Rhinolophus ferrumequinum: one gene and its partners. The protein of the gene in region 3 purifies or fractionates together with the protein of the main gene of each other region. This does not show direct contact. Links are inferred from orthologs where the notes say so. Each region holds a gene or a part of one and is shown on either strand. Other genes may lie near its edges.

Region 1 (7,486 bases), on a different chromosome or scaffold from region 3:
AACCACAATTTTGGGGAGACCTATGAGGCCAGGATGCCTCAGCCTCCCCACACCCCCAGACTGCTGGGAGGATCTTTAGGCCCCAGGGATTTTCTCCTTTCCAGCACTAGGAGTCTGTCTGAGGCACCTCAGTTTTCTCATGTGGAGAATGGGGACAACTAGCCCCCCCAGGAGGAGGGTTGGGGAGAAGGAAGGGCTAAGCTGGTGTGTGTGTGGGGGAAGCCCAAGACACATTGTTTTCTATTTCTGAAAAAGTCAATCAAATAAGCAAGGCTGGGAACTCCCCAGGAGGACTGGGCATTTCTCTGACTGCCCTGGGGGACTGGAAGAGAGAGGGTAGTTCTTAAAGATTTTTTAAAACTCTCCCAAGAAGTGTCAGCAGTTCCCAGTTTCTCCAGGGCAGGGATCCCCCTTTCACAGATGACTCCATCAGGGAGCAGGGAAGGCCCAGGGCAGGCTGGGCCTGAGGGCCCTGGGAGGGGCTCTGGCTAAAGGCCAGGCCTGGGTGGGGACCAGGCCCCTGGCTGCTGCCCAGAAGAGCACACAGGGCCCAGCCCCTCCCTTCTGCCTCTGAGCCTCACTTCAGGGGCTGATCACCTCGGGCTGGTCACCTCGTGGGGGGACCTTCCCTGACTGCCCTTTAAGGAGCTCCCTCCTTCCTAAGGAAACCTGCTGCTTTCCTTCATAGGCCATCAGACTTTGTTCTCTGCTCTCTTGTTTGAGGTGTGTCTCAGGGATCACACCTGCTTTATTCAGGGTGTTACTCAAAACTGTTCGGTGCTGTTGTGTTCTGGAAGCATGCCTGGCTGGTTGGTGCTGGTGCGTAGGATGCAGGAGCAATGTGATCCAGGAGGTTTGGCTCTTGGCTGTGCCCTTGCTGTGTGATCCTGGCTGGGTTGCCTCCCCTCTCTGAGCAGGAAAGCTACAGCTGTTATGGTAGAGGATGGAGGAAGTCATGGCAGGCTTCCTGGAGAGGGCAGCCTGAGAGCTAGCCTTGAAAGCTGAGGTCAAGTTAGGCAGCAGGCAGAGGAATGGCAAGCCCAGTCCCTCCCAGAACCTCAGGAATCCTGAGGTCCAAAATCTCCTCTTGAGACCATCCTGGGAGCAGAGGAGGAAGCAAGGGAAAGAAGTGGCAGAAAAGAACAGGCTTGGAGCCTCAGGACCCATTTCATTACTGACTAAGGGCTGGTGGTTGTTCTCTCTGGGCCTCAGGAGATAAGAGCTGGCTGGGGTGGGAGGAATTTAGACTTTGGAGCAGCCTTTGGACCCAGTCCCTGGGGGCACTTCAGGGGACACTTTACCCAGGGAGGGGCAGTGTGAGGCCTGGTAGGGGGTGGGGGACTGGGCCTAGAGTCCTTCACACTGGACTCTGGGCCTGGGTGTCTCACCAGTCCTGCCTCAGTTTCCTCATCTGTAAAAAGAGTGTGTTTGCTGGAAATGTTTCATCCCTTCATTCAGTTACCCTTCACTGAGCACCTACTGTGTGTGTGTGGGTCTTTCTTCCACCTCTCAGCCCCACCTCAGTTTCTTCCTCTGAAAAATGGAGCTGGGGGTCCCCACCTGGTGGGGCGGCAAAGGGGCTCCAACACTCAGGGCAAGGGGACTGTTTTCCGGAAGAGGGTGAGGGAGTGGGCCTTTGGAATGGACTGTAAATGTCCCCTGGCCTGGAGGCCTTTGCAGGGTGGGGGAACCACAAAGAGAAAAAAATCACCAGAAAGGCAGGTGAAGTCCCCATTGGCTGAGCTAGTGTGGGCTGTGTGCCTGCCCCAGTGACAGCTCTGAAACTCCCTGCAAGGGCAAAGTTCCCAAGCGAAGAACCTGTTCACTTCCTCTCCCGCTGGTCTCCTCCCCCTTCCTCTGGCCTACTCCACTTCCTCTTTTCCTCCTCCCGCTTGCCTTTTCTCTGCAGCTCCTCCCCTCCTCCAAGGCTTGTGGCCCAGTGCCCACCGCCAAATACCCTCCATCTGCCTAGGGTCTTTTGTAAGGGCTGAGGAAGGACACCCAGGCACTCACTCATTCAACAAAGCAGAGCCCTGGGGTGGGTATAGTGGATGTGATGGCGACTCCGGAAGGGTTTGCTGAGGATGGACCCCCAGCTCTATTTTTCAGAGGAAGGAACTGAGGTGGGGCTGAGAAGGGAAAGAAACCGCACACACAGTAGGTGCTCAGTGAGGGGTAACTGAAAGGGGATGAAACATTCCAGCAGAGTCTGGTGGGGTAGGCTGAGTTCTAGATGCTGCCCCAGTGCAGTTGCTTTAAGTGGGGGGAGGGTGCATGTTGCAGATGCTAAAGGGCTCCCACTGAGGAGGGACCTTCTAGGCTGGGCCTTGAAGGATGCATAGGAGAGCACCAGGAAACGGCTGCTACAGATGGCCGGGATTGTCCCAGTCTCAGGTCAGGTGTCCCAGTCTTGGCCAGCCCTTGGTTTAGAAGAGGTGAGGTGGCAGCACAAGTCCTGCTTGGGGACCAGGTCTGCTCTCCACCTCGTGTCGCTTCCTGGAGCCATCCCAGAGTCTCCCATCCCATGCCCTGCAGCCCTGGTCCCAGCCTACCCAGCACCCCTCCAGGCTCAGCGAACAGCCAGAAGTAGCCTCATCAACAGGCAGCAGAAAGGGTCACCCCCTAGTCCCTGAATCACAGGGTTGGCAGGTCCCAAGGTGGCTGGCCAGATGCCCGTGACTGAGAGACACAGGCCAGGGACAGAGCAGTCTGGTCCTTGGGAAGCCGGGAGTGGACAGGCTAGGAATGTCCACCCAGGGCGGGGATGGTGACTGGGGAGCTGCAGCGAGTTTCTTGGCAGTTATCTGGGAATGCTAGCATGTGGCTCTGAGCCTGTGGGCTCTGCTGTGCACTAGGTGACGGTCACCCTTCCCACCTGGTTGTGGCCTCCACAACCTTCAGAGACCTGCCACCAGCCTCCTAGGCAGTGGGCTGGACCAAGCCACCTCTTCCCTGGACACACATTCCACTCCCATATATGGACTAATTGGTCACTGGTTACAACACTCTCTCAGTGAGCACCTATTATGTGCTGCAAAGCCCTGGGCAGGCCTGGCTGGAGACAGACCAGTGGTGACAGGTCAGTGCCCCCACCTAAACCACCTTTCCCATTCTCATTCCTGTGACAATGCAGCTTCTTGTCACCACCTCTGAGAAGGTGCATGCTCCTCTAGGCAGAGCCACACAGATGTCCCTCTGGGGTCCCACAGCCCCTGGGCTTCTGTCTGCCATACCCTGAGCACTGTTGGCCACCCTCTGGATACAGGCTCTGCCTGCCTAACTGGCAGCTCTCAAAGCAGGGAACCACCCAGAACAGGACACCCAAGTTTTGCCTAGTATCTGGAATGTCTCAGGGCAATAAAGAGTGACAAGGAGAGGGTCTCCTCTGAAGGCAGCTGCTCTTCAGCCACTGTCCCTTATGCCACGCCCCCCCAACCCTAACTCATCTCTGGCTCATTGAGTGCCTTTCCCCAGGCTTCGGGGACCTCCAGATGGTCCAGGAGGGCAGTTCAGCTGTGGCTACACATGACAGAGGATGGATGGGCTCTAGAGCTGTGCTGAGCAGTCCTGCCTGCCTACCAGTGCCCACCAGTGTCTGGCAGCTGCCCTGGACACCGGCCTAACCTCCCAGGCCTGGCCTTGTCTGGGTGTGACCAGGCAGCCCTGAGAGGTAGCCTGGCTCCATGGGAACAAGTTTCTGTGCTCTATAGAACCCACCTCTTCCCAGGCCGGCAGCAGGGAAGCCTTGGAGGCCTTTTTACAGGCAACTAACTTCCAGCCACTGGCTCCTGGGGGCCTGCCCTGTCCCTGGGGACTGTGGCCCTGAGGCCCTTGTTAAGTAGCTACAAGCCCCCTGACTCCCCCAGGCCGTATCATATTTCGCAGCTCCAGGTCTCTGAGTAGAAACGATCCCCATTTAGCAAGGTGAGCACCCCGGGCCAGAGGTACCCTAACCCAGGCTTTCTGGGTAGTTGAGCCAATGTTGGGAAGAGTGGATGGTGACTCCCTAACCACCCCTCCCCCACAACTGCTCCTTAAGCATGCGTCCACAGCAACCAGGGACCCTCGCATCTATGTTGACTCTTGTGCCCACGGGGGAGCGGGGAGCTCACGGCACATGTGACATCCACACCCGGAGGGTCCCGAGGTGGGGGACACGGAGAGACCGGCAGGCCGAGTCCAGGCCTGGCTACGCCTGGCCGGACTAAGCACTGCCCAGCGGGGCGGTGGCCCACGGCTTGCACCTTTCATCCGCGGGCCCAGCTCCTAAGAGCGGCCAACGCCAAAACTCTCTCCCTCCTCCTCTTCCTCAATCTCGCTCTCGCTCCCAGTCCATCTCTCTCTTTTTTTTTTTTTTTGCAAAAGGAGGGGAGAGGGGGTGAAAAAATGCTGCACTGTGCGGCGAGGCCGGTGAGTGAGCGGCGCGGGGCCAATCAGCGCTCGCCGTTCCGAAAGTTGCCTTTTATGGCTCGAGCGGCCGCGGCGCCGCCCTATAAAACCCGGCGGCGCGACGCGCAGCCACTGCCGAGTCCGCGTCCACCCGCCAACACAGGCCTCTCGCCTTCGCCGCTCCGCCGCCGCTGCCAGTCTACACAACCTCCAGGTAAGGCCCCAAGCCGGCAGGGCGAACTGACTGGCGCCGGGCCCCGGCCTCCCCCGGGTACACAGCGCCTCTCGCCTCGGCCCCGAGGGCAGCACTTGAGCTTGGGGAGTGGGGCTCGTGAGCCTCCCAGGTCGGGGCCGGGCTGCGCCCGGGCCGTGCGCCCAGGGTGCTACCGTCGGGGCCGCGGGCCTTCGTCGGAACGGACAATTAGCTCCATTGGGCCACCGGCTGCTAGGGTGGGTGGGTGGGTGGGCGCGGCGGGACCGCGGGCCGGGTGGGGGCTGGGGCCACCACTGATCCTGCGCGTGCGCTTTCGGGCTGGCCGCCGCGGTCGGCCGGAAGGGGTGGGTCGCCGCGGCGCCAAGGCGCATGCGCACATTTCTTGGCCGCGCCGTCGGCTCCCGCGGGTGTGGCCTCCGCGCGCCTGGTCGGCGGCGCTTTTTGAACGGGGCAGGGGCGGGGCCGGCGGCTGGGGAGGGGCTGGAGGCCTGGCTTCGTGCCGCGCGCCGCGGGGCCGTCTCTAACCAGCGTTTGCCTTTTATGGTAATAACGCGGCCGCCCCGGCTTCCTTTGTCCCCAATCTCGGCGCGCGCCGGCGCCCTCTGGCGGCTCGAAGGCGCGTTTTGCCGGAAGTGGGCAGGGCGGGGGCCGCCCCACCCGACGCGGGCTCATGGTCCCCTTTCCTCGCAGCTCGCCATGGATGACGATATCGCTGCGCTCGTGGTCGACAATGGCTCCGGCATGTGCAAGGCCGGCTTCGCGGGCGACGATGCCCCCCGGGCTGTCTTCCCCTCCATCGTGGGGCGCCCCCGGCACCAGGTAGGACGCCAGCCTCGGGTCTGACTTGGGAGGTGGGGTCTCTGAACGGGCGGAAGATGAAGTCGGCTCCTCCGCAGGGGAGGCCTTGGGCTTTCTGCGTTGGGTCGTGCCCATGCTGAGGGCGCCTTGCTCCTCCCTCCGCAGGGTGTGATGGTGGGCATGGGCCAGAAGGACTCCTACGTGGGCGACGAGGCCCAGAGTAAGAGAGGCATCCTGACCCTGAAGTATCCCATCGAGCACGGTATCGTCACCAACTGGGACGATATGGAGAAGATCTGGCATCACACCTTTTACAATGAGCTGCGTGTGGCTCCTGAGGAGCACCCTGTGCTGTTGACTGAGGCTCCCCTGAACCCCAAGGCCAACCGTGAGAAGATGACCCAGGTCAGTGCTCTACTGGCCTTCCTCGGGAAGCCACTCCTTCTTTTCTGGCCCTTCTGTGCCACGCCTTTTCTCACTTGTTCTTTCTTCTGCCATTCTCCTAGGATTTTCTTCTCTGACCTGAGTCTCCTTTGGAACTCTGCAGGTTCTATTTGCTTTTTTCCAGATGGAATCTTTTTCGTGTTTGGTTTTCTGACTAGGTGTTTAAAGTATAAAGTGCTGTGGGTGTAGGTACTAACACTGGCTCATGTGGCAAACCCAATGAGGATGGTGTGAAGTGGCCTGGGAGTGTGTATTCAGTAGGTGCACAGTAGATCTGAAAATCCCCATCTTGGGGTCCCCAGCACACTTAGCGGCGTTCCTTGCACTCTGCATGTTCCCAGTTTGGCCTGGCTGTCTGATGGCTTCCTGAGAGTGAAGTGGCCCATCTTTCCCTACAGATCATGTTCGAGACCTTCAACACTCCAGCCATGTACGTGGCCATCCAGGCTGTGCTGTCCCTGTACGCCTCTGGCCGCACCACTGGCATTGTGATGGACTCCGGTGATGGGGTCACCCACACTGTGCCCATCTACGAGGGGTACGCCCTCCCCCACGCCATCCTGCGTCTGGACCTGGCTGGCCGGGACCTGACGGACTACCTCATGAAGATCCTCACAGAGCGTGGCTACAGCTTCACCACCACAGCTGAGCGGGAAATTGTGCGTGACATCAAGGAGAAGCTCTGCTATGTCGCCCTGGACTTCGAGCAGGAGATGGCCACTGCGGCCTCCAGCTCTTCTCTGGAGAAGAGCTACGAGTTGCCTGACGGCCAGGTCATCACCATTGGCAATGAGCGGTTCCGCTGCCCCGAGGCGCTTTTCCAGCCTTCCTTCCTGGGTGAGTAAGGCTTTGACCTTGCCACCACACAATGGTCACCCTTGTGGCCACACTGGAAGCTAAGTCTGGCCTCTGTTCCCCTCAGGCATGGAATCCTGTGGCATCCATGAAACTACCTTCAACTCCATCATGAAGTGTGATGTCGACATCCGCAAGGACCTCTATGCCAACACAGTGTTGTCTGGTGGGACCACCATGTACCCAGGTATCGCCGATAGAATGCAGAAGGAGATCACCGCTCTGGCTCCCAGCACGATGAAGATTAAGGTGAGTGTCCGCGCAGCCTGTGCTGGCCTGGTCACATGGAGTGTTAGAGAGTTCCCATGCTGACTTTACTGTAGGATGCAGCCACCTGTGGTTGTCAAGGCAACCTTTCTGGGGTAACGCACAGCCCTTGGGGCTGTTCCATCAAGGTCCTTATGCTAACTGTCCTGTTCTCTCCCAGATCATTGCGCCCCCTGAGCGCAAGTACTCGGTGTGGATCGGTGGCTCTATCCTGGCCTCGCTGTCCACCTTCCAGCAGATGTGGATCAGCAAGCAGGAATACGACGAGTCCGGCCCCTCCATCGTCCACCGCAAATGCTTCTAGGCGGACTGTTACTTAGTTGGTTACACCCTTTCTTGACAACCTAACTTGCGCAGAAAACGAGATGAGATTGGCATGGCTTTATTTGTTTTTCTTTGTTTTGTTTTTTTGATTTTTTTTTTTTTTTTTTTTTTTTTTTGGCGCTTGACTCAGGATTTAAAAACTGGAACGGTGAAGGTGACAGCAGTCGGTTGGAGCGAGCATCCCCAAAGTTCTGC
Region 2 (7,919 bases), on a different chromosome or scaffold from region 3:
TTAAAGATGCAATAACGCTCTTGGTTCAACTATGAATTCAACACTAAAATTATTTACTTCTAACACAGTGCTTACAATGAGAGTAGCTGTACTGGACAGGAAGAAATTAACACCCATATATTTTGCCTCAAGTCCAGTCACTCAGAAATGAGTTCAAAGACATTCTTTCATACCTTATTCAAGTCCACTACAGCCCTTATCCCATGAGGCTGCCATGCCCACTGCAGAAGGCGCAGACTGCATTACCAGGGTATAGGGCTGTGCCACACTGCACCTCAGCTCGTAGGGCAGCAGAGAGCCTGGGGACCTGGAACAACCATTTTTCACTTAGTTGAGACATTTTTAACTGCAGGAAATACATGCTTTGTTATTTGACTCACTGAAAGGGGAGAGGGGACTTTTTACACCTGCAAAGATTACATGTTTCCCGCTCACCTGATGAAGAGGATTCTCTCAAAAGCTGATACGTTGAGAGGTTCAGTCATCCTCCCCACAGACCTGGTGATGGGTTACCAGCCCCTCAGAACAGCGCCACTGCATTCCCAGCACCATCCTCAAACAACCAGAGGGCAAATTATTTGCTAACAATGCTGTTCCCCTAGGGAGTGGCCTCACCCTCAGTACAGCCAATAGAGGGTTAGTGCCCCCTGCCTTCAGTCCTAACTTCACACTTACCAGCTGGCTGAGCGAATCCTAGAACCCAGCTGGCGGGTAGGGAAGATTTCAGTCTTGGGGTTGTAAGTCTGTTTCCGCTTATAGCCAAACACCAAAGACTGAAATGCCCTCCCCTTCCTTTGTCTAGAGGTCCCCATTCTCAGGAGACCTGTTTGAAGTGCAGTTACAAAGTCACATTATTAGCTACTTTGTGAACACTGTACCAGGATCCCTGAGGGAATTGGTTTCCAGGAGATGTCTGGTATTTAGAGCCTGCCTCCAAAAAGGAACTGTGAGTGTGTGTTTGGGGATGGCATCAAGATTAACCCTTATGCTCAGTTACCTGTTAATTGTGCTCAGTGACTAAAAGAACACATTTAGAGGCATTTCTGCTGGACTTCTCGCCAGAGATGAGACACTACAACACACATACACCTAGATGCGTGCATAGAGACAAATCCTTTCAACAAGCATGAGGAAAATGTTACTCAGTTTACACATGGCAAACAGGCCCCGGGGCTGAAGGCCCTCCATCACTCCTGTCAGTATGAGTCAAACCTGATTCTAAACGCCTGTTGACACCTCCCAATGCCTCTATCCACCATACACCGACGTCACCTATCAGGTCACTTGCATAGCAGGGGATCGATGGCCTGGGTTTGAATGAAGCACACGGATAAGAAGCCAAGGGTGCCTTTAAATAACCTTCAGACCGCAGGTGCTTTCCTGCTTCTTCAAACCCTGTGTGATGCCACCCTGTGAGGCCTCCTGTCACCAAGCCCTCCCCAAGCAGGAAGGGCGTACCTGCCTCACCACACTAACCAGTGATAACTTCTACCGGTATGTTCGTCCTCTAACGAGGCTGTGAGCTCTGTGGGCAATGGCCAGTATAGTTATCCGGGTCTCCATCCCCCTCCCCGCAAACAGCTTCTGAACAGTTTTTATTGAGTGAAGGTGGTACGTGGCACCAACCACCAGACCTATTTGTCCGCTACCCACACCTACTCCCACCCACCCCGTGACCTCCGCGTTCTACAATCTGGGCGCATCTGTGAAGCAACGTGAAGCAGAGGCGAGGAGGCCTCCGCGCCGTACGGACGGCTGGCTGGCCAGGCCCGAGGTGAGGCTGGGCGGTAACGGGTCCGCAGGCCAGTCGTCCGGCGGGGCGGAGCGGGGCCGGTCCCGGGCGCCGGCTACTACGTGCAGCTCCGCCGCGGCGGGATGGAGCCCCGCCACGCTCCCGGAGCGAGCGCAGCGCCTGGGTCACCGCATCGAATCTGGAGCACCCAGGTGCAACCCTTTCTTTCCCTGCAGCCGGAAAGGCCCAGGGTTACGTAACCCGGGCCACCGCTGCATCCCGGGCCGCACCCGACCCAGCTCTGCCGGCCCGCAGACCACTGCCCTTCGTCGGTGACCCCGGACACGGGTTCCAGGAGTCGGAGACTGGAGCCGTGATGGAGACGGGGGACACGAGTTGGGGGGCGGGGTAGCAGTGGGACGAGACCAGATGGGCGGGGGAGGGGGCGTGAACGTGACTAGACCCGAGTGGGAGGGGCGAGGGCCGCACCGCGCAGAGAAGGATGCCGAGGAGCGGACGTGACCGGAGTGGGGGGGAGGGGCGGAACAAGCGCATGAATGGGGTAGCTGGCGGCACGAGGTGGGCACCGGGAACCTGAATGCGGGAGGAACGCGGAGGTTACAAGGAAAGCATCAGAATAAAGAGGCACGGGCAGGTGGAAGACGAAGGGCGAATGGATCAGTATTAAGGGGCAAGGGGAGGAGGCGAGCAAGAGAGCAAGGGGGAGGGAGGAGAGGAAAGGAGGTTCGGAGGGCATGTGGGAAGGGAGGCGAGGATCGCACCAGAATTGGGGTAGGGATCGAGGCAGGAGAGGATCTGGCTGAGTCATCTGACTTTGGAAGAAACAGGAGCTGGGGGCCTTGAAGAGCAGGCCCTAGGCGCGAGCAGCTTCTTTCTCCTCTCTCCCGACCCCAACCGGGTACAAGATGCCCAGGATCCCGCGCCGCCCCGGAATGGGTGCCCTGTGTGCGCAGACCGGCCAGATTCCGCACTAGCCGGGCGATGGAGCCCAGGTGGGGACGGATGGCTCAGCCTGTCTCCCTCCAGCTCACCTCCGGTGTGGTCTCGCTCGGGCTGCGGGTACACTGCAGAGAGGTCAGGAGGCTCTGCGCGCGTCGCTTCTGCGTGCAGCCGACTGCCTCAGCCTCAAGGTTATTCCGACTACAAGGCCGCCGCAATCCCTCCGCCGCCCCGCCCCCCACCCAATCCTGGCTCCCCGCTCGCCCGGCCCGCCCCCTGCGTCCCCGAGGGGAGCAGTCCCTTCTGTAGGAAGTGCGGCGGCGCCGGAACAGACAGTTAGGTTGCCCTTTGGGAAGGACTACATTCCGTGGCGGAAGGATACGGTACATAAAAATCGATCCTCGCACTCTGTGAGGAGCCAATGGGGAAGCGAGGAGGCGGCAAGACCCGCCCTCGGAACCTCGGAGTCCTTTCCTCCCAGACCCCCGGGCGCCTCGGCCACCTGTTGCCGCCAACTTAGAACGCTGGAGGAGGGCTGTACTCCTGACCCTCGGCCCAGGCCACCCCAGCTGCCCTGGCCTATTCGGGCGGTTCCCAGATTTATGGGTCCAGGGGTAGCATTCCCCCAGCGCCGCCCCGCGACGTCCCACCCCTACGGGTGCCCACCCCAGCGCACACCTCGGGGACTGGGCCGAACAGGAGGTTGGGGAGCTCGGAGATTTCATGGGATGGTTGGAGGTCGGGCCGGGAGTGGGGGTAGGGAGAACTAGGGAGGGCGGGAGGTGCTTGGAGCGGGAGCGGGAGGCCTTTGTTCTTAGGGCTGGAACAAGGAAGGACAAGTTGGGGCCATGGGAATACTTTAGTAGGGGCTGGAATCCTGCAGAGCACGAGCCTGGAAATAGAAAGCGAGTAGAAAGTATTACTATTAATGCAGAACTGATCGTCAAGAAATACTCAGAAGGTGAGGGCCCATTATCTTTGCAGGAGTCAGCGCTTGTTTTCAACCTTGTGTATTTAAATCAGTATTGTTTTTCTCCAAGGCATTTTCCAATTTCTCGGTAATTAGCCACAACCACTGAAAACAGTAATCAGTGAAACAGCTGTTAACCCTTGCCTTCATTCAGCCAAGTTTTGAGAGCAGATACAATGTTACTTCATTAAAAATCCTGAAGGCTGTTCTTTTTAGGTTCTGTCCGTTTCCTGGAAAATGGGACCAATGGGTGTGACCTGCTCAGGCACACACCCTGCCGGCAGCTGAATCACAGGTCTTCATTATGATTTCCTCTAGCCCAGATAAGCTGGGAGGAGAAAGTGACAGCCTACAAGTAAATTTCTGTTTGAGATAAAATATTTCATTTCTTCTGTGAGCCTTTTCTGGTCTCTTTAGTCGTAGATAGGAAGTAAATGCTTGTTCATGGAGGTAGGGAGAGCACACGAAGTTGTGGAGAGGAAAACGGGCCATACCCCACCAGGGATAATGACATTCCTACCCAGAGAAAAAGGAATAGCATGATCGGCCCTTACAGGGCCCCTCAGCTAAGAATGAGCTAAGTACAGGGGAGGACAACACGGGGAGGGGGATGGGCAGGCCAGTGCTGTACTACCTTGTGTTTTAAAGTTCTAAATCGAGATACATTCCCAAAATTGAAATGCACAGCTATTAAACTGATGAGTTGGTGGCAAACTATTGCCCTTCAGTGACAGAGGTCGGTCAGCTGTTATAAAATGCTGTCCATGAAACGGGCAGAGACAAATCCAGCATATCCTGCTCACGTTAGATGCATAGTGCACATTTGTCACATTGCGCTTAAAGTGTTGTCTTTTTGCGGAAAGCAGCATAGTATAGAAGAAAGCTTAGGTAGGTTCCATCATATCTGAGTTCCAATTCCACTCATCAGTCCCTGTGATTGTATACTATACTGTGTGAGTCCAGTTCCTTGTAAATAAATGGAAGACAATTCCTGTTTCCCAGGGTCGGGTTTGATCAGATGCTGGGTGTGAATGAGCACAGCACTGCCCAAGAGGCATCCTTTCCTTGGGAATTGACTAGTCCTGGACGCTTGTCCTTGTAACTAGGGTGAGAACGCCTTTCTGAATTCTAGTAACTCATTTGCCTTTCTGTTGGCCATCCTCCTTAATCTTCACTCCCTTGACCCAGCAACAAGTAACCCCAGGAGTGCAGGAAACAGGAAAGCTGAGGGAGGACACAGATTCTCCTCGCAGCCAGGCTCCTCCTCCAGAGCCTTCCATGCTCACTGACGTGGCCAGATTGGCGTGGTAGCTGCGAGGCTCACTGGACTGGGCTGTGAGTGAGGATATATACTGCTGTGCTCTCTGGGTTCTGGGCCACAGAACCACAGAATCTGGAGTTTAATGGCTTCACTTGCGAAGGTCATTTGGAGTCCTTGGTGGGGTAGGTGTGTCAGCAAACAACAGTGAACCCAATCTTGCAGCCCAGAGATGAGTTTTGGCCCTGGTTACAGACGTGACGGTCCGTGCGTGACCTCTTGGCCTCTGCCAGAAACAGCAGTGTTATTTCTCAGGACAATCCAGATTTCCAGGGCAGCCCATAGGCCCTCAGTGGCAGGTTTAGAGCAGAAGTGTTTATCACTTTGGAGTTTATATGCCCTTTCCAGAGCCAGACCAAGTAGATCTTTAAATTTATTCTGTGCCTGCCTTCAGACTCCCAACATCTCTTCAATCCCACCAGGGTGGCACAAGAGTTCCTCCCCGCCCCCCTCCGAAAAAGTCTAGAAGGAAGAGGAAGTTGGTTTCTTTGGCGTTGAGGATACAGAGAGAACAGGCTATCTGTGTGGGAAAGGGAGGGTTTCATGGAGGAGACATGGAGGGTTGGTTAGGATAGAGATGGGTATGGGAAGGCCATTCCAGGGAAAGGGAACAGTGAAGAATGTTTTCTGAATGCAACTGTGTATCTAGGTCCCCCCTCCTGAAGAAATGCCCCACCAGCACTTGGAAGAGGGAAGAAGCTTGAGGACTCCTTATTCATTCCAGAGGAAGTACAACCTCAGCCAGGGTCTCTATCAGCTGATGGGACCTCCAGCAATCTTTCTCTAGCTCAGGACTGCTAGGGCTCCCAAGAAAAGCCTCCCTAGCGTGGGTTAATCCTGCCCGCCAAACCCTCCCTTTGAGGCCCTATGCTTTCTCCCTTTTCCCTACAAGTGTAGCCAGAGTTCAGGCTCCTTAAGATGCAAATGTAAGCAGATCTTATCCCTCAAAAGTCATCAAGATTTGGAAGACCACCAAGAAAGGCATCGGTGAGTAATGGGTCAAGTGCCCCCTTCGCCGGAAGTCCTCTTGCTGCATGCAGTTCACCAGTCTGCTTTTTCCTTGGCAACATGCTTCCAGTCTCCCCCTCTGTGCTCACTGGCTACCAGCTAATCTGACCCACTTATTCCGGAAAGGATGGCTAGGACTGAGGACACTCTGGTCTCTGTCCTAGATAATGTTGGTGGGCAATGCTTTAACTTAAAGGGTGGCATGTTTGGCCCCATTGCAGGGGGGTTCTGAAATACTTACGGAAAGTCCTGTCCTCCAGAGAGAATGATGCCCCTTCGAATGAATTGAAGCCTACTTTATTCCCATCCTTTCTGGGGGAGGAGGACTCTGGGGAATTGTGACTCATGAATTCCTTGCCACCACTCCCAAATTGGGCCCAGAAGCTGAGACAACTTCCAAACCTCCATCTTAGAATCCATCCTGTAAGTAAGCTGGTAAGTAACCCAATAATGACTCAGCACCAGACTCTTTTCTCTCTCTCCCCACTGGCCAGTCTGAAAGGCAGAATCAAGCAGAAGGCTCTTCCCCTATGGATGGCCACATCCTCCCCACAAATGAGTCAAGGCCACACCCTGCATGGATGGAAAATTACCATCAGAGAGAAGCAGAAAGTTAAACTCTCTGGGGTTTTTGTGTTCTCAATCCAGAAATCACAGCCATCTACTCTCCACCTGGAACAAATTGTGAGGTAAATAGTTCTTTTCCTGGCCCTGACCGTAGCCCTAAGGAAGCATGTCCAGGTCTAAATGCCGTAAGGCTGCTTGAGCCTGGGACTATATGAAAAGAGGCCACTGGCAACCTCTGCGTGCAGGATGTGTAATAGCTTTGGCCTCTGAAGGAGGATGATCTCTTGCTCAGACCTGGCTTTCACAGGCCCCACCTCCCCACCTCCAAGGTAGCCAGCCAGGCCTGGGTGAGGGAAAGGGGCTCCCAAATCCCTCTGCAGGCTGTGGGAGAATTCCTCTCCAGAAGCCCTGCAAGTTTCTCTGCAATGGAGGCATTCTTGTCATAGGGTGTTCTTTTTTTTTTTTAAATAGGGTTTTAATTAGATTTGTTTTACAACCATATATGGGTATATTTTGAATTTTTTCAGATGTGATTGTGTATGGCTCTCAAACATCTCAGATTCAAAGTCCTGTTGCTTTTATATGGGACACTACAAAATGGGGTTCAGTAAGTCCTCAGTGTCATGGTAGCTTTGTGACTTTAAGTGAAACAATGCATAACTGGACCCATTTTATCATAAGTTAATTGATATAAAGAGTTAAGTTCCCTTGGCATCTTATCAACATTATAAAGACGTTATTGGAGGACGTGCTGTAATTTCATTACACTTATTGGCATAAAAAAAGACCATTATGCAATGTTCTAACAAAAATTGACACCCATGAGACTAGCTCAGGTATTTGGATATTTCTGGTAACATACACTACCTGTTCATTACTTCTTGTTCCATCATTTACTAGAACTTATGTCATCTGCCACTGATAAAAAAAATTATAAGAAATGCTTATAATTTCTTAAGCAGCTGAGAATGTATAATTTCTTAACAGCTGAGAAAAGTCCATTAACATTTTCTGAAAATAGACCAAAAATGTTGTAATACCATTTGAGTAACCAAGCACCTGGGTTCAGTTGCTGGAACGTCAGTGGGAACAGTTTGAGAACCTCTGGGGAAGTAAAAGAATGGCTCAGAGCTCAGGTCCTAGTTGGGCAGCTCTGGTGAAAACTCAGGATTGCCACTACCCAGCTGTGAGACCCTGGACACGTTATTTAAGGTCCCTAAAGAAAACCTACCTTCTACCTTTAGTTGTCAGGATTAAATGAAAACCTTAGTGAAATCTGAAGAGCTACAGAGCAGAGAACTAGAACAGCTGTTCTGGAATCAGGCTGCCGGTCAGTTGCTGGCAAATCACTATCCTCTGTGCCT
Region 3 (7,384 bases):
CACTTCTCTAACACACTGTACCATTTACTTTTTGTTTGTGGACTGTCTCCCCGCCTCGAAAACGTAGTCTCCACAAAGGCAGGGGTTTTGTTTGCTTTGACCAGGGCCACGTCCCTAGCTCCTCAGGAGACAGTAGATCTACATTCAATAATGAAGCCTTTTGACATCCTGACTCTTCCACGGGGTTAGGAGACATCGATACTCAACCGGTAAACACATGAACATAGTAATGAGCAAACAGTGGCATGGGTTAGGAAGAGCGTGAAGATCAGGTGTGGGGGGAGGGGAAAGACCAGGCAAAGCTCTCTCTGAGAAAGTCTCCTTGAGATACGCATATTAACTGGGAGGAGAGAAGGTAGAAACGGATCTCTGGAAGAGAGACTGGACAGGGGAAAGACCCGAGTCGAGGGAGTGCCTGGCATGTTGGAAGAATAGCAAGGGGACCAGTGTGGGTGAAGTGAAGCAAAGCGAATGAGGGGGGAGGATGAGCTCATGAGGTCACCAAGGTGATGTGGAGCCAGATCACGTGGAACCTAAGAGGCCGGGATGAAGAATTTGGACTTCACCTGGAAGGCAATGGTCTGTCCTTGACAGATTTTAAGAAAGAGAACATCACCTCGTACGTATTTTTGTAGGTTGCTGTGTGGAAAACACAGCAGGGGAGAAGGTGGAAGCAGGGGACCAGTGAGGAGGCCTCTGCAAGTCTCGATGAGTGATGATGGTGGTAGCAGTGCAGACAGTGAGGAGAAAGGTCAGATACTGAATACATTTCGAGCAGAGAGCCAAAAGAATTTGCTGATGAATTACAACACGTTGTGAGCGAATGGGAGGGGGAATTCTCCTGTTTCAGCACAAACGTCGCTTCTTCAAGGATGCCTTCTGGGAACCCTGGATGCTACTCTAGGGTCCCTATCAAACATTCTTGAAGCCCGTGGTCTTAAGTCCTCCTTCATTAAACATTTCACACTGCGTCTGGGTGTTTAATGATCTGCTCTACTCACCTATCAGCTCCTTGAGGAGGGACCCTGTCTGTCTTGTTTGACACATTTGTATCACCAACTCGGGGCACACAGTAGGCGCTCAATAAATATTTGCTGGCTAAATGAAAAGAACCCTTTCAAGCCTGAGCCCCACCTCCCTAAATCGTCTGCTTCTGGTCTCTAGGCTAGTGTAAGAAAGGATTTGTTCCTGCTAGTAGCTCTAAGTCTGCATATTTGTGTGGTTCGGGGACAGCCTAGAGGAGTCAGCCTCACCTGTCATCCCAGAGGCAGTGGAATTCATTTAGCTGCTCATCGAACACCAAGCCAGTACCAGACAGTGTCTTGGCCTCAAGGTTCAGATCCTGCAAGGAAAAAAATGTGAGACACGGATCGATTTAGGGCCTGAGTCAGAGAGAACATCCCATATTGTCCAGGATGGACAACCTCAGGATTTTGATTGTCACAGGAGGCTAAATTGTGGCCAGGCCACTCTCACCAGCCCTTGCAGGCCCACGATTAGGTCTTGCCCTGTTTCTTGGCTGAGCTTCTTCATTCTGCCTTTCTTCTTAACCTCCGCTAGTTTGGGGCTGGAGCGGAGTACGGCACCCTTCTTAGCACCTCGCTTCTGCCAAACAGAAAGAAGGGTCAGAGTCCACTGCATGGCCGGCTGCTCCCCCTCCCCCTCATCAGGACGGGTCTGGGGCCTCACCGAGGTGACGCTGGAGTCGTGGGGGGGCGAGTGGGGGTTGTGCCTACTCCTTCGCTGCCTGGTTGTGGTGGAATCCTGACCGGTGGAGGTCATGGTCGGGGAGATTTCACCCCTGACGCGGTTCTGAGGGGTGCAGAAAGGGCTGGGGTGCCCTGAGGACCCCACATCCCAGCCCCTTCTCAGGCCCCGCCCCCTATACTAGTCTCCATCTCTCCCGCTATCCTACTCCCCACTGCCTTCTAAACTCCGCCTCTCTCAAGGCTCTCTCCCTCCACTCGGGTGTCTAATTCACCTGGTCCCGCCCATTCCACTAGACTCCACCCCTTTAACTGTATTCTTTCCCCTTTCAAAGTCTTACCCTTTCAAAGAGCAATTAACCCCCAGGCTCAGTCCACTCTAGGGCCTGCTCTTTCCAGCAAATCACAACCCTTCCGCTCTACCAAGCCCCATTCCCAGATCCTTTCATTCTTCTCAGCTTCGCCCAGACCTCGCCTCTTCATAGACGCCCGTTCCATCCAATCGCCCGGGATAATCACCCACCCTTTCACTCAGCCAGACCCAGACCCAAGACCGACCCCGGCCCCAACTCCACCCTTAACGAACCACTTAACTCCACCCCTTATCGGGCCGCACCGGCACCTACCACTTGGCCAGATCCCGCCCCTACTGTTACAACAGGCCCTGTCCCTCTGGGGACGGCCCCTTTCCTTCTACCAGGCCCCACCCCCCGCCAAACCCTACCCCCGTCGCTTCCCCAAGCCCCTTCAGCGAGTTTGGAGCCGCCTCCCGCCAACCCCCCCCGTTGACGCCAACCAATCCCTTCGGCTCCATTCACTGGGCACAGCCCTTTTCTCAAACTCCGCCCACGGCTAGGACCGCCCAATTCCCGACGACCTGTGGGACTGTGGGAGCCGGAGGCCAGCTTTTCCTTTGGGCCAAGTCTCTCTACTGCCCGCCCAGGTCCCGCCCACACCAGGATCGGGCCGCAGGACCGCGCCCCTCGTGCGGGCCACACCTCCCGCGAGCGCACAAACCGCGGGTTTGCGCGTCCGCCCGCGACGCGGGCCTTGCTGCGCCTGCGCGAAGCGCGCTGCGGCGGTTCGACGCGGCGCTCAAACCCAAGCTCGCCCCTCCCCCAACCCTTGCCGCGGTCTCCCTGGCTTTCCTGGTCGCCGTCACTCAATCCCTGTCCAGTCACCTTAGGAGCCCTCCGGATCTGGGGCTACTGTGCCGTGCGATGACTAAAGAGAGCAAGCGAGCAAGCGAGGGAGTTGGGAAAGGGCGTCTTCCCTCCTCCCTGCAGCTTCCCGCGCGGCGCGCTGTGATGACGTGGCGCGGGCGGGCTGGAGCTGGGTTGAAACTGGAGGAAGGCTGCTGGCGGCCAAATGGGATTGGTGATGATGCTAAATGTAGCGAGGGTTTTCTAAGTTAATGTTCACGAAGGTGGTACACAGGCCGCACTTACCAAGTGTTAGCTATTAATGTCTTGCCGTGAAAATGGATGGTGGGCGAAAGGAGTCTTAGTAGGGGCAAGTATTAAATGATAATGATAACAAGTATTGTGTGTCAGGCATTGCTGTAAGCCACAATTCTGTGAGGTAGTTCCCATTATTAAGGCTGTTTTGCAGATAAGGAAACTGAGGTTATGCGACTTAGCCATGTGACCTCGGGCAAGTTACTAAACATCTCTGTGCTTCAGTTTCCTCATCTGGAAAATTGTGATAAAATAGTGCCTAGGGACAGAAGGGACTCAGGGAGGGGAGTTTTTCTTGGGCGGCAGCTTTCCCTGTCAGTCTCCTCCACCGAGTAACCTTCGCTCCCAAGTTGTAATGGAAAGTGTGTGCCTGGGAGGAAGGGTAGTTGCCCCCTTGCGGCCCCCCGCCAACTCCCTCCCACCCCAGGTCTAAATAGCCCCGCAGGAGGCCGGTTTGTCTCCCTAATCTCCCTTTCTCATTCTTCACCATTTCCTACCGGGGCTGTAGGCTGGGGCCCGAGAGATAAGCGGTCTGGGGTTCAGCATCGCTGACTAACAAACAGATTGACAGCCCCACCACCCACTAGCTGGGCCCTCTGACCCTCTTGAAAACACCAGTTCCAGCCTTCCCTTCCCTTCCACTCTTTCTGCCTGAATATGTCTTTTGTCCTGGTGGAAGAGGGTCACGGCCCTAAGACCTTTAAACCTCCTCATACACCAAAGAAAACACATACAATGATACACACTGAGGAATATTCTGGGGTTGTGATGCCTACAAAGTAATAGAGTAGGGAGTCTTGTAAGTGTCAAGGCCCATTTTTCTGTATAGTCAGAAGAGAGGTTTCTGTGGAGCAGAAGTCATCAAACTTTTTCGACGCAGGACCAGATAGTAATATTTTAGGCTTTGCAGGCCATGTACGGCCTCTGGTAAATTCTTCTTTCTTTTCTCCTTTCTTTCCGTTCTTTCTCTTAAAAAAATGTAAAAACGGGCTGCAATCTGGCTTTGTCCTGAATGCCATAATTTATGGGTCCCTGCAGTAGACTGTCAGTCTTTGGCTTCCTTTATCTGACTGGGATCCTTTTACAGGATAAGTGCAGAGGTTCCATGCTTCCTGAGGAGAGGTATTCCTTTCATGTGAGGTGTAAGGAGAGGGATTCATGGACAAGGTCCGGTCACTTCTGGTGTTCTTCTACTGGGTCAAGCAAATGTTTCTGGACAGGGATTTCTATAGTTTCCTTAGTGTGCCTCCACTGAACCAAGCAGGGGTTTATATATAGGACAAGACAGTTGTTTCTAGAGAGCTCAAGACTAGGGGTTCCCATACAAGTTCAGGATGGGGCTCCTTAGACTGCATTATTCCTACAAAGAGATCAGGTGATCCAGCTTCAGAGTCAGCACAGGTGTTTCTGTACAGGTTCAGAGCTGCATTCATATACTCGTGGACAGTAGGATCAGGTGTTTGTGTCCAGATTCAGCCGAGATTCTTATTAATTGAACTAAATTAGGCTAGCTGCTATAACAAACCCAGAATCTCAGGAGCTTAGCAAATGTTTATTTCTTGCTCATACAAAATCCAACGTAAATATTTACTATTGGTCATTAATGGACCCAGGCAACTTCTGTTTTGTGGCTCTGCCCTCCTCTGAGCCCTCGGAGTTTTTACTATTCAGCTGGTAGACAGGGAAAGGAGGAGGATTCCATGAGAGGTTTTTATGGGCCAGGCCTTGAAGTAGTGTATGTCACTCTGCCCACACTTCATCGATCAGAACTGTCACATGTCCACGTCTAACTATAAGGGAGGCTGGGAAAGTGAGTGAGCTTAGGAAGAGAACAGGGTTGATAAACCTGTGGTGGTGCCTGCTACAGGATTCTGTAGACTCTACAGAGCTACGCTGCTTAATGCAGTAGCCACTAGCCACAGTCATGACAGTGGTTCCTGCATAAGATGAAGGTAGGGCTTCCAGAACAAAGCCAGGGCAAGGGCTGTCAGAGAGAGTCACGTCAGGGTTTCCCAAACAGGTTCAGGAGAGTGTTTCCAAAGTGTAAGGTTGGGAGTTCCTATGAAGGATCGGGTCAGAGATTTCTGTAAACCAATCAAGTTAAGGATTTCCATTGAAAGTCAGGAAAAGGTTTTCTGTAGAATCCAGTTCGAGTTTCCAGTACAGTTGTAGGCAAGGCTTCCTGTAGAAGGTCACGGCAACGGAGCTTACGGGGTGAGGATGGGAAGCCCTGTACAGTGTCTGGGCAGGGGGTTCTGTGCTACGTGAAGCTGTAGGTAACTGTATAGAATGAGGTCTGGGCTTAAAGTAGAGGGTCGGGAAAGGGTTTTCCATGTAGGTTCAAGACTGGATCATGGGTTCCTGTGGACTCTACAAGGTGGGGTGCAAGATAGGGATTGTTGTACAGAGCGACGTCAGGGGGTCATTGCCAACAATGGAAGCAAGGGCTCCTGAACTCAATCGGTTCCTGAAGAGGTTGCAGATGGGATGGAGATTTCTGCAGAGAGAGTCAGGTCCGTGGGTTAGAACTAGATTTTATTGTGAGCGAAGTATTTGTAAACTGCTACCTGGAGGGCAGGGCTCCAGTACAGTGTGAGGACAGAGGTGGCCTGTCCAGGGTCAAGGTAGGATTCCTAGAGAGAGATCACAGCTCAGAAAGAGGGTCAGGATAGGCGTTTGTGAAAGAGGTGGTTCAGGGGCTTCCTTACAGTGTGGGTTCAGAGATTCCCATGGCAGGACAGGGGTTCCTCCTATACAATACGAGGACTGGTGCTCCTGTCCAGGGTCAGGATGGGTTTCCTGTTGATAATTAGAGAAGGTTCCTTAGAGTTCCAGAGCTAGGTTCCTGTACCAGGCTAGGACTGCAGTTCTTACAGGGGGTGAGGCTTGGGGTTCCTGAACAAGGTGGGGCCAGGCACATTTCCAGCACAGGTTCTGAGAGGGGTTTCTTTCTGTTTCAGATGAGGGGCTCCTGCAGGGTGAGAGAGCTAGGGATCTGTGGGGCGGCCGGGCAGGAGGCTTTCACAGGGCCAGGGCAGTTCTAGACAATCCCTGTAATGAGTGTGGACTACTGTGATTCTGCAGCGGGCTTGTGTGGCGACTCGCTAAGGGGTGCTGTTGTGTCGAGGACAGCTGCTTACCCATGACTATGTTCAGGATATATGGTCCCACCATCCCCATCTCTGGGGCTGCCGGGGAGAAGCAGCCCAAAAGCAAATCCAGAGCTGAGTGAATTGAGGAGTGAGTGGTTTAAAAAAGAGAGAGAAAAGCAGCCCAAGTAAGTGTGAGCAAGACTCGGGGGGTGGGGGGCGGGCTGGGGTGGCACCATCTGAAATCTACTCGTTAAACTCAGTGTGGTCAGGGCAGGTTACTCATCCGGACTCAGCCTCACTTTTTCGTTAGTAAAATGAGTACGAATATACATACTTTTTTGGAGTATTTTTTTCAGGTGTTCATGAACTAAAGCAGCGGAGGCCTCCCAACCGTTGCCGACCCACGGTAAACACTCAGTAAGTGGTGCTGCTTGCTGTTAGCAACTGTGGGGTAGAGAGGAGGCTGAGCCACGGAGCCGGGCTCAGCCCCGTGCCATCAGCTTTGTGCCTCGGTTGACCATTTAACCTGTCTGGCTTAGAAGGGCACCTGACTCAGTGCGTGCTTCTACCGTGTTTCCCCGAAAATAAGACGGGGTCTTATATTAATTTTTGCTCCAAAAGACGCGTTAGGGCTTATGTTCAGGGGATGTCATCCTGAAAAATCATGCTAGGGCTTATTTTCCGGTTAGGTCTTGTTTTCGGGGAAACACGGTATGTGAGGGTTTGTTAAATGGGAGAACAGATTCTGTTTTGGGAGAGCAATTCACCTAAGTGTGCTGGGAAGGGCGTTGGCACTGCGGGGAGCACCCCCACCTATGGGGTCTAAATATCCCTCCAGAGGCTATTTGGTCCCCCTAATCTCCCCCTCTCCTTTTCTACCATTTCCCACAGGGCTGCAGGCTGAGCTGGGCCTTGAGAGATAAGAGATGAGTGACAGGAAGGCCCACGGACAACCCCACGGTCCCAGACTGGTCATCTGACCTTTTTGTTGGCTACCATTCCAGCCATCCCCTGCCTTCCATTCCTGTCCTGAGTATGTCTTCTGTCCCTTGGAAGGGGGTCCCTCACGTATACCGACTGAAGCGATGTGTGTTGATACCTCCACACACAAGAGTACACAGAGCTGCTC
Region 4 (7,118 bases), on a different chromosome or scaffold from region 3:
AGCAGAAGAACAAGCGGGGCTGAATCAGGGGGCTCCTGCTGCCCCACACCCACCCCACCCCACCCGCAGGGAGGCCCTGCTCACCTCAGAGAGGTACCCAAAGGGGTTGGGGAAGGCGAGCTTGCTGTGCTCCCTGTGCATGCCCTTCCCCTCGCAGCTGGCACACAGGTCATAGTCAGGACAGACGCTGCACTTGTAGCGGGTCCCCACCACTGGCCCGTTGCAACCATCGCAGATCACATTGGGGTGTACCATGTTGCGGGGTGCCTCCTGAGCACATGGGGGGCGGTGGTCCCGCCGGCACTCCTTCTTCTCTGCAAGGAGGGTAGAGAGCCTTAAGGTGGGGCCCCACGTAGTGTCCCCCTTGTCACTACTACGGGGCTGTCACCAATGTCAGTAGGACCCTGGCTCCACTCTTCAGACACCGAATCCATGAGGAACTCAGTTGCTCAAGTGACAGCAACAAAGTGACCTGAGAACCTGCCAGGTTCCCAGTACCTGCGCATTACCTGGGCGGTGGCTGTGTCTACATAGCTTTGGCCTGCCTTTCACTGAAATCAACCCCAAGTGCCCCCAAAGCTGCCCCCAGCCCACAGCACGGTCTGGGCACCACAAGCAGTGAAGCCAGCCCCTCCGCCCCACCCCCTGTGGTGGACACGGCCTCCTTTTCAGCGCAAGCACTGCCCGCTGCTCCTCTCCCCCTTCACTGGGGGCATTTCTCCATAACCTCCAGCCAGCTGGTTTTACTCAGCAGGGAGCACCCCAGAGCTACCCGTTACCTTTAATGTAAATACGGAAGATGTCATCCTTCACATATGCCATTGCCATCGTCAGCTCCTCATCACTGGAAAAGGCAACCAAATCTCCGTCCTCATCTAGGTTGTTTAAAAGACAGCACATGAGCACCCAGGGTTTCTCAGCTGGACACCACTGCGGACAAGGGCTGAGGGGCACTCGCAGGGCTGTGACTGAAGCCCAGTATCTGAGGCGGGGGAAGCAGGGCTGAGGCCAGCATGCCACTGCCTAGAACGCGAGCACTCTAATCCGGGCACCAGGCGTGCGCAAGGGGTAGAGTATGTATGGACAGGAGGAGCGGGCCTCCTGCCGTGCTGCCTCTGGGCCAGCTGCTCCGTCTCAAGGGTGCTGCCTCGGTCCGCATCTAAACAGGCCCAGGCCCAGACCCATCTTCAGCTATGGGTGATCCCACCCGTGACCTGCATCAGGCCAGCCCCTTCAAAGCTCTTGGGCCTCTTGTGGTTTAGGAGAGTAAAGTAGACGAGTACACCTGTTTGCTTCCTCCCCCAAAGAAGCTAAAATTATGTATTTGTATGTACTGTCCTTTTCAGATGTTGGCTCAAATGATTTTAAAGCACCACAAGGTAGGCCAAACCACATCATACATCTGCAGGCCGGGTCAGGTTTGTGGGCCACCAGACGCAGCATGGACCATAAGAACAAGGGCAGTGTCAAAAGGCGAAAACAACCCACACATCCATCAAACTAACAAATGGACAAACAAAAGTGGTATGTCCATACAATGGGGTATTACTCAGCCACAAAAAAAGAACGAAATACTTTTCACACTACATTATGGAAAACGTCATGCTAAGAATAAGAAGCCAGTTACAAAAGACTACATATTATATGTGTCCATTTATATGTTTATATGAAATGTCCAAGATAGGGAAATCCATAGAGAAAAAGAAAAGATTAGTGGTTGCTTAGGGCTGGGGGAATGGGAAGATGGGGATGGGAGGATAACTAAAGGTGATGAAACATTTCTAAAATGATGATCATGGTTGCAGAAATCGGTGACTATGCTAAAAATTGTACACTTTAAATGGGTGAATTGTATGGCATGTGAATTATAGCTCAATAAAGTTGTTTAAAAAAATAAAACAAACCAGGAGTGGGCCTGGCCAGCACTCCTAAGGGCGGTGCCAGCACAACCCCGCCCAGGGGCCGGCCTTGGCTGCTCACCTCCTTCCCAGCCACACCTCCCCCACCCCACCCCTCAAAGCCACCAGTCAAGACACTGGGCTAGTTCCTGGACTCTAGTCCCACACCGACATTTCTGAAGGTTTTGATCTCGTTCCTCTGCCGACTACCAGCAATATAAAGTCTGGGCTCAGCCTTGGCCTTGGGTGGTCTGTGGTATGTCCCCGCTCTCTCCTCCCCTCCCCCTGCCATGGGTTCTCCCATCAGGCCACACAGCCCCGAGTCCCCTACACCCCCACACACACTTGTTTACCCGCATCACCCTTCTCCCCTGCCCGCTCAGGCTCTTCCCGGGGCACGATATGAACCCCCACCCGAAACAGGCAGGCTCAGACTGGGCAGCAGCAAAATGTCAGTGTAACCTGAGTGCCCGCCTGACCACCCAGTGGCTGCTGCGAGCCGACGAGGACGCCCCAGGGAGCCCTTGCCAAGATCTGCAGCATCATGGCGGGAGGGGGCGGGGGAGGGGAGACCTCTTATGCCCCAGGCCTGCGATCCTCTGAGAGCCTGGCAGCGCCTGGCCCCACAAGGGCCGGCCTTGGTCACCACTCCTGGTCACCTGAGGCTGGCACCCGAGGTCGCACTGGGGACCATGTGAGCCGCCTCCCACCCACTGAGCGACCACAGCAGACCCCCACAGATACCACCAGGCCCGTTAGGAGGGAAGGGGCCCCCACCCGCCCCACAGGGAAGGCCTGCGTCAGGGTCCCGCACCGCTCCTGAGGACGCCCGGCCCGCTCACCGCGATAGTGCGCCTGGAAGCCGCCGGGCCGCAGCGCAGGGAACAGGGCGGCCACCCGGCTCAGTAGCCGCTCGCAGGGCCTGGGGCCCGCCGCGGCCTCCGCCTCCGCCTCCGCCTCGGGCTCTGGGCCGAAGCAGAAGCTGAAGCGGCGGATCTCACGCGCTGCGTCCTCCTTGCCCAGAAGGTAGGCCTTCACCGTGAGCGACGCCATCTCCAGCCGTTTGTGAACAGGAGCCTAACCGGGCAACGGCAACCCCGGGCGCGCGGCTTTTGTAGGGGAAGCTGGAAGTCAGCTCCGCCTCCTGGGGGCGGGGACTGTACACTCACGCCCCGCCCCCGCGCCCGGGACGCGGCGCGCGAGCCGCCCTGCCGGCCCCCTGCGCCAGTTGCCCACTCCCCGCCGCGGCACCCACCATTCTCTCGGGGTTTCCCGGACCCCCTCATCTTCGACCCCTTTGCTCACTTCCCCCAGCGCACCGGGAGCCCCAAAAGGCCGATCCCGCCCTCCGACATCTGGACTCTGGACTCGGGCCTCTGCACCTGGGGAAATGGAGCCACAGAGGTCCCGGGTCCCGCCCCAGACCACTTCCAGGCCTGGGCCTGGCCAGTGACTCAGCAGAGCAGTACCAGGCCGCCGCGGATGCCCAACATAAGAGGGAGGGGGACAACAGAGACCCGAAAACAGGAGGCTCATGGGCACTCAGCGGGCACGGCATGCCAGAACAAACTGGCTCTCAAGGTGCTGTCCCCACCCTGCCACTCTTAACAGCCCCTCATTCACATAACAGCCCTTTACTGGTTTGAGGGACAGACCCCCACCTCAGGCCCGACCACCAGAAGAGCTCCCAGTTTAATAGGGGGTAGGTCTTAAAGGTGCTGGAAGAGCACAGTACCTCCCACCCCCACCAGGATGGAGGGCCAGCTAAGGCTTCCTGGAGCCTCAGCCATCACCCCATCACCGCATGTTCACTGCAGCCCATGAGACTGCCTATGGGTGCCTGGACACCGCCTGTCAGCACAGGGTTCAGTTCAGCAGGTGGTGCCCAAGGGCTTGTGGGGGTCTCAGGCCTGTTGACCTCATGGACAACCCAGGATTCAGATCAACAGCCTCCCAGCTAGGAACCAAGAAACGTGCTTTATGTGACAAAAGTGAACTGTTCACAAGGCCTGGAGGAGGGGGTGGAAGAAGGTGAGCAGGTGTGTCACCCTATGAGTCCTCCCAGTTGGGGACCTGTGAATAGGAGCTCAAGGCCCGCTGAGTCAAAGTCATATCCTTTCATGGTGGGGTTGATGGGAGCAGGTAACCTCAAGGGATGGGAAACACAGACATCCCCAGAGGTTGGGTGGGTTTGGTTAGTCAGGTGCAAAGGTGATTTGTCTGTGGGACCACAGCAGGGATCTGTCCACAGGTATGGCTGGTCCTTCCCAGAGGGCTCCAGAGTGGGCAAGGCTGTAGCAGCTCTGCAGAGAGGACGGTCCCCTCTCAGGCCCTCCCTACACCCCCTCTGTGAGCCTGAAAAGTGACCCTCTGCCCACCGCCATGCAGACAGGGTCAGGAGACAGAGAAGGGGCAGTGCGGCCCACAGGTGTCCGAGGGAATGACTCAGCAGCCTAGGAGCCTTGCAATCCCGGCCCACTGGGCCAAGAACCCCACTTCCTGCCTCCAGAGCTGCAGCGTCCCTCGCTGAGTGGGTGGGGTACACAAGGAGAGCCCTGTGGCTCTGGGGAACCCGGGTTTCAGGAAGGGCTTAAGGCGCAGTCCCTGTCCAAACAAGTGGCGGAAATGGAGGCCACTGGCAGGACTTCCCGACTTTCTGACCATTTGGCTCCGTGTGTGGGACCGTGGTGGGTTTGCAGGGAGGGATGGAGAACTCAGGGTGAAACCGGGTGGTAGGAAATGGCCCCTGGGAAGCAGGCCTGGAGATGTCCCCCCTCCTGCCCCTGTGGAGCCCCAGCTGCTGCCTTCCCAGCATGCCTGGCTACAGAGTATAGGCCCTCCCCCACCCTCCCCCAAGGCCAGGAAGGTAAACACGCTGCTGCGGCAGGGGAACCCCCTGGCAGGGCCCTCTCCGCCAGCCCCTGCGTGGTCAGGTGGTCTGGATAGAAGGCAGTGAGTCAGCATCCCATGACCAGCCGTCATAACAGGGGAATCCCCGGCTCCATGCTACCAGTCTTGATGACATCTTACCAGGCAGCCTGGCAGCAGCGGTGAGGAGCAGCTGAGTGGGACTCTGAGGGAGCCTGGAGCCAAAAGAGCCCTCGGAGGACAGGGTGGCAGGAAGCTGGCAGCGGGGAAGGCCAGACCGAACTAGACCCTGTCCCCACCAAAGTCCCCTTCTGTCCTTCCCCTCCCTGAGCTGCAGAGAGCTCCCCCAACCTCCCCTGTGCCCACTGGCCTCCATCTGACCCTCTAGGCATGGCATTCACACGCTGTGAGGGGGGCAGCTTGGTGCCTGAATCAGACCAACTATCTACCACCCTGCCATCTTTGGACAAATGACCAGCTTCAGTTTCCTCGTCTTTGAATGGGGCTGGAGTGCGGTGACTTGATGCCCCCAAGTGATGCCCCCTAGGTGTGCTAGTTGCCTTTGGGGTTATCAGCTTGGCAGGCGGAGACTACAGTCAATGGTGGGAGTGGGAAGAAACCTGAGCTGAGAGTTTCTGGGGACACTGGGTGCAGGGAGGGGTGGCAGGAGGTCCTCTGATACGGTTTATTCCTGTGTGGTGCGCTGTAACTACCTCCTCAGTTCCCCGTTCCTCCTTCCCAAAAATAATCCCATCCCTTGACAATCGTTTTCTGAAGCCTAGATATGGGTGCTGTGCCAGCCAGAGACACAGCCACCCTTGAGATTGAGGATCACAAGGGATCAACATCCTCCAGACCTAGGCCCAAGAGATCAGTTTGTTTCTACAGGGGGGACAGGGTCATGGGTGGGATGGCCTGCAGGCCACAGTGCCCTGGGACCCAGCTGCCACTCCTTTCCACTCCCTCACACCAGAGGGCACACTCCCAGCCTTCAGTTCCTAATATTGCCTACCCATTCCCCCTGGTGACTTTCTCCTGGCCCCTCCCCCTGCCTGGAACCCTTTCTCCTGCCTCACATGGCAATCCCCCATCCTAAATGGCGGTGGGGCTTTCCCTGACCACTCCCTCAGGAAAACCCCAGAAACTGGACATTACCTCGTTTTAGCCCTTCCTGCCTAGCCAAGAGGTGTTGGGAGCTATGTGTGTATGTGCCTGTGTGTTGGGGCATGGGGTTAAAGAAAAGGGGTTCAAGCCATCTAGGAAATGAAATAAAGCCACTAAGAGACATAGATGGAAAGTTAGGTATTGCCAAGTTGTCAGGGTCATGAGAGAACCAGGGCCTCCTGCACAGCTGCTGGAGGTTGGGAGCAGCCATTCTGGGCTTGGCTACTGGCACGGACAGAAGAATGGACGCCTGCACGCTCCTGGGGGCATTGAGGGAGCGGCCGCCCCCTAGGTGATCAACACACCATGTTCACTGGACAGTGGAGATGGCTCTCCGCAATGCTGATGCAGGTAAGGGAGGCGGACCGAGGCCGAACGCGGAGCCATGTCTGCAAATACAAATCAGAAGGCCCTGGGCCCATCATCCACAGAAACACAAAGCCGGACGGGCGGCGCTAGGGACCCAGTCCTGCGCGCCTGGCCTAGAAAAAACGTGCGGCCCGGAGCGCAAGCGGCCCGAGCTCAGGCCAGGGGCGGAGGAGGGGTGCTGGTGGAGGCCCGCTTCTCGGCTGCTCGCCTGAAGGGCGGCTGCACCCGACCCCGTCCACACCTCGCTGGAGCCGCGTCGTTCATCCAGCCCCTTCTCCCCCAGCGCATCCTTGGAGTCCTGGCCCTGTGTCGGGTCCTGGCCCGAGAACCCGCAGGGGCTCCGGTTTCCCGCAGCGAGCGAAAGAGCGCGCCTCGCTCTGCGCGTCGGATCCGCTGGTCGGAACTGGGGTGGTCAGGCCGCCCGCCCGCAGGTCCCCTAAGGCTGTTCATTAAGTAAGACACCCCTCACTCCCAGCCCAGGGGAAAGGGAACTCGGACAAGGGTCACAACTGGTATCCGATGGTCCCTCCCCTTCCTTGATCGACACCTACCCCGGGCGGGCACTGCTGGGGGCTCCCAAAGCAGAGGGCCGGCCTGACAGCGGAAGGTTCTGGAAGGATAAAAGGAAGCGCTACGAGGTGTTAGGGCGGGGGGCTGTGAAGAGACAGCGCGGTGGCCCTGGATGGATCCAGGCGCCTGGGCCCGGCTGACTGGATGACAGCCGCTCAAGGCAGAGGGGGGGACGAGTCGCGGAAGAAGGGTGCGGCGTGCTCCTAGCTGGGCTGGGGCAGAGAGGCCGGCGTGGCACTCGCCAGGGAG

Evidence for each region.
Region 1: the proteins of HDAC6 (region 3) and ACTB purify together in Homo sapiens (affinity purification with mass spectrometry; 3 studies listed by BioGRID, with this or other methods). This does not show direct contact. The link is inferred for Rhinolophus ferrumequinum from reciprocal best matches to the Homo sapiens genes HDAC6 and ACTB.
Region 2: the proteins of HDAC6 (region 3) and PKM purify together in Homo sapiens (affinity purification with mass spectrometry, with the first as the bait; 4 studies listed by BioGRID). This does not show direct contact. The link is inferred for Rhinolophus ferrumequinum from reciprocal best matches to the Homo sapiens genes HDAC6 and PKM.
Region 4: the proteins of HDAC6 (region 3) and SQSTM1 purify together in Homo sapiens (affinity purification with western blotting; 6 studies listed by BioGRID). This does not show direct contact. The link is inferred for Rhinolophus ferrumequinum from reciprocal best matches to the Homo sapiens genes HDAC6 and SQSTM1.

Annotation. Positions count from the first base shown.
Region 1 is NC_046307.1:41,580,121-41,587,606, forward strand, and holds the start of ACTB (actin, cytoplasmic 1), read left to right. Parts: upstream 1-4,469; 5' UTR 4,470-4,490; coding exon of another isoform or gene 4,491-4,633; intron 4,634-4,884; coding exon of another isoform or gene 4,885-5,275; exon of another isoform or gene 5,276-5,287; intron 5,288-5,293; 5' UTR 5,294-5,299; coding exon 5,300-5,422; intron 5,423-5,566; coding exon 5,567-5,806; intron 5,807-6,243; coding exon 6,244-6,682; intron 6,683-6,767; coding exon 6,768-6,949; intron 6,950-7,127; coding exon 7,128-7,271; 3' UTR 7,272-7,486. Other genes in the region: translation initiation factor IF-2-like, read right to left, coding at 4,491-4,633, 4,885-5,275. UniProt on the Homo sapiens protein: Actin is a highly conserved protein that polymerizes to produce filaments that form cross-linked networks in the cytoplasm of cells.
Region 2 is NC_046289.1:97,339,763-97,347,681, forward strand, and holds the start of PKM (pyruvate kinase PKM), read right to left. Parts: upstream 3,008-7,919; 5' UTR 2,785-3,007; intron 1-2,784. UniProt on the Homo sapiens protein: Catalyzes the final rate-limiting step of glycolysis by mediating the transfer of a phosphoryl group from phosphoenolpyruvate (PEP) to ADP, generating ATP.
Region 3 is NC_046284.1:85,813,070-85,820,453, forward strand, and holds the start of HDAC6 (histone deacetylase 6), read right to left. Parts: upstream 3,010-7,384; 5' UTR 2,888-3,009; intron 2,378-2,887; exon of another isoform or gene 2,333-2,377; intron 2,307-2,332; exon of another isoform or gene 2,048-2,306; intron 1,813-2,047; 5' UTR 1,783-1,812; coding exon 1,690-1,782; intron 1,606-1,689; coding exon 1,477-1,605; intron 1,343-1,476; coding exon 1,254-1,342; intron 1-1,253.
Region 4 is NC_046307.1:2,982,385-2,989,502, reverse strand, and holds the start of SQSTM1 (sequestosome-1), read right to left. Parts: upstream 3,008-7,118; 5' UTR 2,952-3,007; coding exon 2,741-2,951; intron 876-2,740; coding exon 780-875; intron 315-779; coding exon 85-314; intron 1-84. UniProt on the Homo sapiens protein: Molecular adapter required for selective macroautophagy (aggrephagy) by acting as a bridge between polyubiquitinated proteins and autophagosomes.